Saccharomyces cerevisiae S288C: one gene and its partner. The gene in region 1 interacts genetically with each later gene. Each region holds a gene or a part of one and is shown on either strand. Other genes may lie near its edges.

Evidence for each region.
Region 2: mutations in YHR054C (region 1) and MGA1 together harm fitness more than expected from each alone (negative genetic interaction), as found in Saccharomyces cerevisiae (one large-scale study listed by BioGRID).

The regions. Positions count from the first base shown.
Region 1 is NC_001140.6:212,631-216,374, reverse strand, and holds YHR054C (uncharacterized protein), read left to right. Parts: upstream 1-2,125; coding exon 2,126-3,190; downstream 3,191-3,744. Other genes in the region: RSC30 (Rsc30p), read left to right, coding at 1-1,192; metallothionein CUP1-2, read left to right, coding at 1,657-1,842; YHR054C-B (uncharacterized protein), read left to right, coding at 1,685-1,858; metallothionein CUP1-1, read left to right, coding at 3,655-3,744; YHR052C-B (uncharacterized protein), read left to right, coding at 3,683-3,744.
Region 2 is NC_001139.9:985,729-989,920, forward strand, and holds MGA1 (Mga1p), read left to right. Parts: upstream 1-2,320; coding exon 2,321-3,691; downstream 3,692-4,192. Other genes in the region: 6-phosphogluconolactonase SOL4, read left to right, coding at 244-1,011.

The DNA of each region.
Region 1 (3,744 bases):
TCATAAATCAAGTTTAGACGAAGATTTGAGCTGTCTGTTAAGCTTCCAGATAAAAGATTTCAAGTTATTCCATTTTTTGAAAAAAATGTATTACTCAAGACATTCGCTTCTAGGTCAGTCTTCATTCATGGTACCCGCTGCTGAAAACCTATCTCCGATACCTGCCTCTATTGATACGAACGACATTCCTTTAATTGCTAACGATTTAAAATTACTGGAAACGCAAGCAAAATTGATAAATATTCTGCAAGGTGTTCCTTTCTACTTGCCAGTAAATTTAACCAAAATTGAAAGTCTGTTAGAAACCTTGACTATGGGCGTGAGTAATACAGTAGACTTATATTTTCATGACAACGAAGTCAGAAAAGAATGGAAAGACACTTTAAATTTTATCAATACCATTGTTTATACAAATTTTTTCCTTTTTGTTCAAAACGAATCCTCTTTGTCCATGGCAGTTCAACATTCTTCTAACAACAATAAGACCTCGAACTCTGAAAGATGTGCAAAGGATCTGATGAAAATTATTTCTAATATGCACATTTTTTACTCAATAACATTTAATTTTATCTTCCCCATAAAGTCGATAAAGTCATTTTCAAGCGGCAATAATCGCTTTCATTCTAATGGTAAAGAATTTTTATTCGCAAATCATTTTATTGAAATCTTACAGAATTTTATAGCAATCACATTTGCTATTTTCCAACGTTGTGAAGTAATATTATATGACGAATTTTACAAAAATCTTTCAAATGAGGAGATTAATGTTCAATTGCTATTGATTCATGACAAGATTTTGGAAATTTTAAAAAAAATAGAAATTATCGTATCCTTTTTACGAGATGAAATGAATAGCAACGGAAGTTTCAAATCTATTAAAGGTTTCAACAAGGTTTTGAATCTGATTAAATATATGCTGAGATTTAGCAAGAAAAAACAAAATTTTGCGAGAAACTCTGATAACAATAATGTTACAGATTATAGTCAGTCGGCGAAGAACAAAAATGTTCTCTTGAAATTCCCCGTTAGTGAACTGAACAGAATCTATTTAAAATTTAAGGAGATTTCAGATTTTTTAATGGAAAGAGAAGTTGTCCAAAGGAGTATAATTATTGACAAGGATTTGGAATCTGATAATCTGGGTATTACTACGGCAAACTTCAACGATTTCTATGATGCATTTTATAATTAGTAAGCCGATCCCATTACCGACATTTGGGCGCTATACGTGCATATGTTCATGTATGTATCTGTATTTAAAACACTTTTGTATTATTTTTCCTCATATATGTGTATAGGTTTATACGGATGATTTAATTATTACTTCACCACCCTTTATTTCAGGCTGATATCTTAGCCTTGTTACTAGTTAGAAAAAGACATTTTTGCTGTCAGTCACTGTCAAGAGATTCTTTTGCTGGCATTTCTTCTAGAAGCAAAAAGAGCGATGCGTCTTTTCCGCTGAACCGTTCCAGCAAAAAAGACTACCAACGCAATATGGATTGTCAGAATCATATAAAAGAGAAGCAAATAACTCCTTGTCTTGTATCAATTGCATTATAATATCTTCTTGTTAGTGCAATATCATATAGAAGTCATCGAAATAGATATTAAGAAAAACAAACTGTACAATCAATCAATCAATCATCACATAAAATGTTCAGCGAATTAATTAACTTCCAAAATGAAGGTCATGAGTGCCAATGCCAATGTGGTAGCTGCAAAAATAATGAACAATGCCAAAAATCATGTAGCTGCCCAACGGGGTGTAACAGCGACGACAAATGCCCCTGCGGTAACAAGTCTGAAGAAACCAAGAAGTCATGCTGCTCTGGGAAATGAAACGAATAGTCTTTAATATATTCATCTAACTATTTGCTGTTTTTAATTTTTAAAAGGAGAAGGAAGTTTAATCGACGATTCTACTCAGTTTGAGTACACTTATGTATTTTGTTTAGATACTTTGTTAATTTATAGGTATACGTTAATAATTAAGAAAAGGAAATAAAGTATCTCCATATGTCGCCCCAAGAATAAAATATTATTACCAAATTCTAGTTTGCCTAACTTACAACTCTGTATAGAATCCCCAGATTTCGAATAAAAAAAAAAAAAAAAGCTATTCATGGTACCCGCTGCTGAAAACCTATCTCCGATACCTGCCTCTATTGATACGAACGACATTCCTTTAATTGCTAACGATTTAAAATTACTGGAAACGCAAGCAAAATTGATAAATATTCTGCAAGGTGTTCCTTTCTACTTGCCAGTAAATTTAACCAAAATTGAAAGTCTGTTAGAAACCTTGACTATGGGCGTGAGTAATACAGTAGACTTATATTTTCATGACAACGAAGTCAGAAAAGAATGGAAAGACACTTTAAATTTTATCAATACCATTGTTTATACAAATTTTTTCCTTTTTGTTCAAAACGAATCCTCTTTGTCCATGGCAGTTCAACATTCTTCTAACAACAATAAGACCTCGAACTCTGAAAGATGTGCAAAGGATCTGATGAAAATTATTTCTAATATGCACATTTTTTACTCAATAACATTTAATTTTATCTTCCCCATAAAGTCGATAAAGTCATTTTCAAGCGGCAATAATCGCTTTCATTCTAATGGTAAAGAATTTTTATTCGCAAATCATTTTATTGAAATCTTACAGAATTTTATAGCAATCACATTTGCTATTTTCCAACGTTGTGAAGTAATATTATATGACGAATTTTACAAAAATCTTTCAAATGAGGAGATTAATGTTCAATTGCTATTGATTCATGACAAGATTTTGGAAATTTTAAAAAAAATAGAAATTATCGTATCCTTTTTACGAGATGAAATGAATAGCAACGGAAGTTTCAAATCTATTAAAGGTTTCAACAAGGTTTTGAATCTGATTAAATATATGCTGAGATTTAGCAAGAAAAAACAAAATTTTGCGAGAAACTCTGATAACAATAATGTTACAGATTATAGTCAGTCGGCGAAGAACAAAAATGTTCTCTTGAAATTCCCCGTTAGTGAACTGAACAGAATCTATTTAAAATTTAAGGAGATTTCAGATTTTTTAATGGAAAGAGAAGTTGTCCAAAGGAGTATAATTATTGACAAGGATTTGGAATCTGATAATCTGGGTATTACTACGGCAAACTTCAACGATTTCTATGATGCATTTTATAATTAGTAAGCCGATCCCATTACCGACATTTGGGCGCTATACGTGCATATGTTCATGTATGTATCTGTATTTAAAACACTTTTGTATTATTTTTCCTCATATATGTGTATAGGTTTATACGGATGATTTAATTATTACTTCACCACCCTTTATTTCAGGCTGATATCTTAGCCTTGTTACTAGTTAGAAAAAGACATTTTTGCTGTCAGTCACTGTCAAGAGATTCTTTTGCTGGCATTTCTTCTAGAAGCAAAAAGAGCGATGCGTCTTTTCCGCTGAACCGTTCCAGCAAAAAAGACTACCAACGCAATATGGATTGTCAGAATCATATAAAAGAGAAGCAAATAACTCCTTGTCTTGTATCAATTGCATTATAATATCTTCTTGTTAGTGCAATATCATATAGAAGTCATCGAAATAGATATTAAGAAAAACAAACTGTACAATCAATCAATCAATCATCACATAAAATGTTCAGCGAATTAATTAACTTCCAAAATGAAGGTCATGAGTGCCAATGCCAATGTGGTAGCTGCAAAAATAATGAACAATGCCAAAAA
Region 2 (4,192 bases), on another chromosome or scaffold:
TTTTTTTTTTTTTTTTCATATCTGTCAATACTTGAAAATGTTCTAGTTAGAGATTTACGTATACTGATCGCTTGCCTTCGCAAGGGATGGAAATCCCTTGAAAATTAAAAAAATCCCCCCCTAAGCAGCGAAAATTGTAAGATCCATAATATTTAAGAAATGACGAAGAACGTAGTCTTATCGCAGCAGTTTTCCAAACAAAGAATGCCATTCATCAAATAATCCACAACCACCTCAAGAAAAATGGTGAAATTACAAAGGTTTAGCGAAAAGAAAAGCCTCATACACGAATTCGGCAAGTTTATCCTTGAAAAGCAAGAATCGGCGTTAACGGGCGACGCTGATGCAGTGTTCAATATCGCCATCAGTGGAGGATCGATGAACCAAGCGCTGTACGAAAGTTTGGTAAATGACAAAAACATTTTTCCACATATTAAGTGGCCACAATGGAGAATCTTCTTCTGTGACGAAAGATTGGTTCCATTTGAGGATCCGCAAAGTAACTATGGTCAGTTCAAAAAAACAGTTTTGGACCCGCTAGTGCATCAGGGCAACCAATTGAACTTAGGCCCCACTGTATACACTATCAACGAATCATTAATCGGTGGCGGTGAAACGGCCAATAGAAAGATTGCCGAAGAATACGCTTCCATGCTGCCTGCATCATTCGACCTAATCTTACTCGGATGCGGAGAAGATGGACATACATGCTCGTTGTTTCCCGGGGTTGAATTTAATTACCTTGTAGAAGAGATGGACCGCAAGGTTTTATGGTGTAATAATTCGCCCAAGGCACCCAAGGACAGGATCACCTTTACATTAGCAGTAGTAGCCGAGGCTAAAAGTGTGTGCTTTCTCGTTAGGGGAGCTGCTAAAAAGGCTATCATGCATGACGTGTTAATCGTAAAAAATAGCGAACTACCTAGTGTGCTGGTTAATGAAATGGTCGGAACCAAAGTAACTTGGTTTCTCGACGACGAAGCTGGCGCCTTGATTCCTGAAAACTGCTAATTACACTCGTCTTTATACGAAACTGGCTCCGTTAATCACGACAGACAACCTTAATTACATTACATAATAATAAATAAATGACAACTGTCTTCTTTACAGCGTATGTTGGAGCTTACTCCCGAAGCATAAACCCAGTTCTTCTAGAAGAATTGACAGCAGAAAGGAAAGGGGTACCGAAGGCAAACTCAACCTTAAAAGTTCCGTAAGCAACCGAGCCTCCGCGAAGGTTGCATAACTTAAAAGAAAAACATAGCTCACCCGGTGATACCGTTACAACGCGTTAATCTTAATGCTATGACTCGGAACCACCTGCAAAACAGCGCTAACGGAAATTTCCATGGAAATAGAATAAGGGACGCAGCAGGGTTTTTTTTTTTGGCGAGCACACGAAATATAAAATTGCTTCGGGCCAGCTGCATGGAAGGGTTAATTTCGCCCCTTTATCGCAAGCTACGCAGTTCTCCTGGCTCGAGAATGAATCTGGCCCGCCGCAGACGTTTCCTGGCCCCAGATTAGGAAGCAGCGGCGGCGGAACGGAAGGTGCTCTAAGCAAAATAAGGAATATTAGCCACGCCGGTAATTCCCCTCCTTTGGTCTGCCCCTGGTCTGCCCCTTTCGTTTTTTATTTTTTTTTGGGTGAACGGAATACTCCGTGGGCGGCACAAGGAGAGCCTGCGTAGGAATCTGTGCGTCTCAGTCGGGCGGGCCGATTTAGCACCGATGGTTCGCTTTGGCTTGGGCTTACGGTGACTGCGAGATTTGCAGATTAGTGCATATCCGCGCCTTTGTATGACGTGAAGCGATCCGCCCTGAACAACTTGTTACGTATATGATGTTGACTCTGCGCCCCCGTCTCTCTGGTTGCTGCCTTCTGCGCTGATTTGGTGCAATCTTTCTTTTTTGTCTTTGAAAGATTTAAGCTTTTTTTCGAGAAGAAAAAGGAGGAACCGAAAAAATAATCTTTCAGTTGTTGACCCGTAGAGCAGAAAATGGAAGGCAGTAGATATCCATATCGAAGGAAAAGCACAAACTTATCACGTTTAGGGTATTCATTAACGTTGAAGTAATCAGGTAGTGAATAGCTCGAAGTTTTCCATGCTTTCCTTTCGGTTGCATCTTTCTTCCTTTGGGGTTTTATCTTGATACGTCGTTACTTACCTTTTTTTCCAATATATATATATTGGTAGTAGCTGATCATTGCAGAAGATCTAGATCTCCTTTACACGCTTTAAGGTTAGGCAGCTGTAACCCCTATATTGAATTTTCACCCACGCCATAAAATACAATAGCTCAGAGAACCGGTGGCCACATGCAACCTAAAACTTTCGTCCACCAACTTCATGCAATTCTTCTGGAACCGGAAGTAAATAAATGGATATACTGGTCTCCGACTGATAACACGGTATTTTTTTTGAAGCCATATGACCCTAATTTTAGTACACATGTTCTGAAGCGTTATTTCAAACATGGAAATGTCAATAGTTTTGTTCGTCAACTACACATGTACGGGTTTCATAAACTATCTCATCCTTCCCCAGACCAATCTTCTGCCAACAATGGTAACGTTAAAGAACTTGTTGAATGGAAATTTACCCACCCATCTGGATTCTTCTTCAAAGAGGCCAACGCCGGTATCTTGAATAAAATCCAAAGAAAGAGCACTGGTGTGGGAAAAGATGGTAAAAGAAAGAATATACTGTCACCAATATCTGTCAGTTACGTTGATGCTTCGAGGTTAAATGTTCTCTCTCAGCAATCCGGACCAGTTTCTGCAAGAGAACCATCAAACATGTTTATGGGCAGTCCCGTCCATTACTCAACATCCCAAAGTCCTCCACATATCAGTATACCGCAACAGCAACAAAGTAGTGGACCTTACCTAATATCTTCACTGCCCCCTCAACAACCCACGGTGAACATGATGCGAAGGCAAAGCATCTCGGCGAGGATGATGAATTCTTATGACTATCCCAATCAATTTTCCACCCAAGATAGCATAGTCCAGCCTCAGCAGCCGCAACAAGTACTTTCTCCACAAGCATTATCTGGACCTCCGATGAAGAAATCAGGAACACTATCTTCGACAGATGATCTGAAAACAACTTCCTTGCCAATTGTTAATTACCCAATGCCGTATCATCCTGGAGCTTTTGCCCAGCAGCAGCAGCAGCAGCAGCAACCGCTCCCTACAGTCCCGCCATATAGCAGTTACTCCACTCCATTTCCCTCAATGATGAACTCTCTTTCGAACTCTGCTTCTAACTCACCTGCTTTAGGAGTTTGTAATAATAATGTAACACTACCCAAAAAAAGCAATATAAGTGAAAGGCAAGCTTTGGATAACCATATACAAACTTTAAAGAACTCTCTATCAACAATCACTGATTTGATAGAAAAACATATTAACAGCGCATCGCAAGATGAAAATAAAACTCTAACTAATGATGCCATGAACAAAGACCTTCGAACAAGCTTATCCCTATTACAGAATTCCAAGGAGGAAATCATTCAACTTGAAAGTAAATGGATGTCTATGCAATCTGTTAAAACAACTGCCCTACCCCTTCAAGAGACTACGAATACATCATCGACCTTAACTTCTCTGACGTCCAGCATAATTCCCAAGAGTATACCTATAATCACGAAAGGTGAAGTCGCCACTAAACCAGCATCTTACTGAATTATTTTCAACAGAACACATCGCATCCAACTGAACAAACTGTTACCGCTGTTGATACCAAGGAACATTCAGTGAACGTAGGGAAGAACGAACATTCTCCATATTTTTGCATACTAGATACAAGGGGGAAGAATGCAATTATTTCACAAACCGAAAGAAAAAGAATCACAAGCTATGTTTGCTATTATCAATTTTTCTTATGATTAATTTAACATAAATTATGGCCTTTTTCATTCCGGCTGCGCTTGTTCTCCAATTTTTTTTTTTTTTTTGAGAAAACTTTAAAAATTTCAAATGTAAGAAAGTAGAGCAGATCTTTTAGCAAGGATCCGCTTAACATTCCAACAAAAAAGGAAAAATAAAACAATAATTTCGTTCCCCATCTATCCTTCGCCTCTCCTTCGCTCTGTAATTTTTTTTACTCGCGCGCTTCCGACTTTTGAAAGAAGGAGCAATAAAGTTAAATAAATGTAATTAAATTATGCTTTTTTAGGCAAGTTC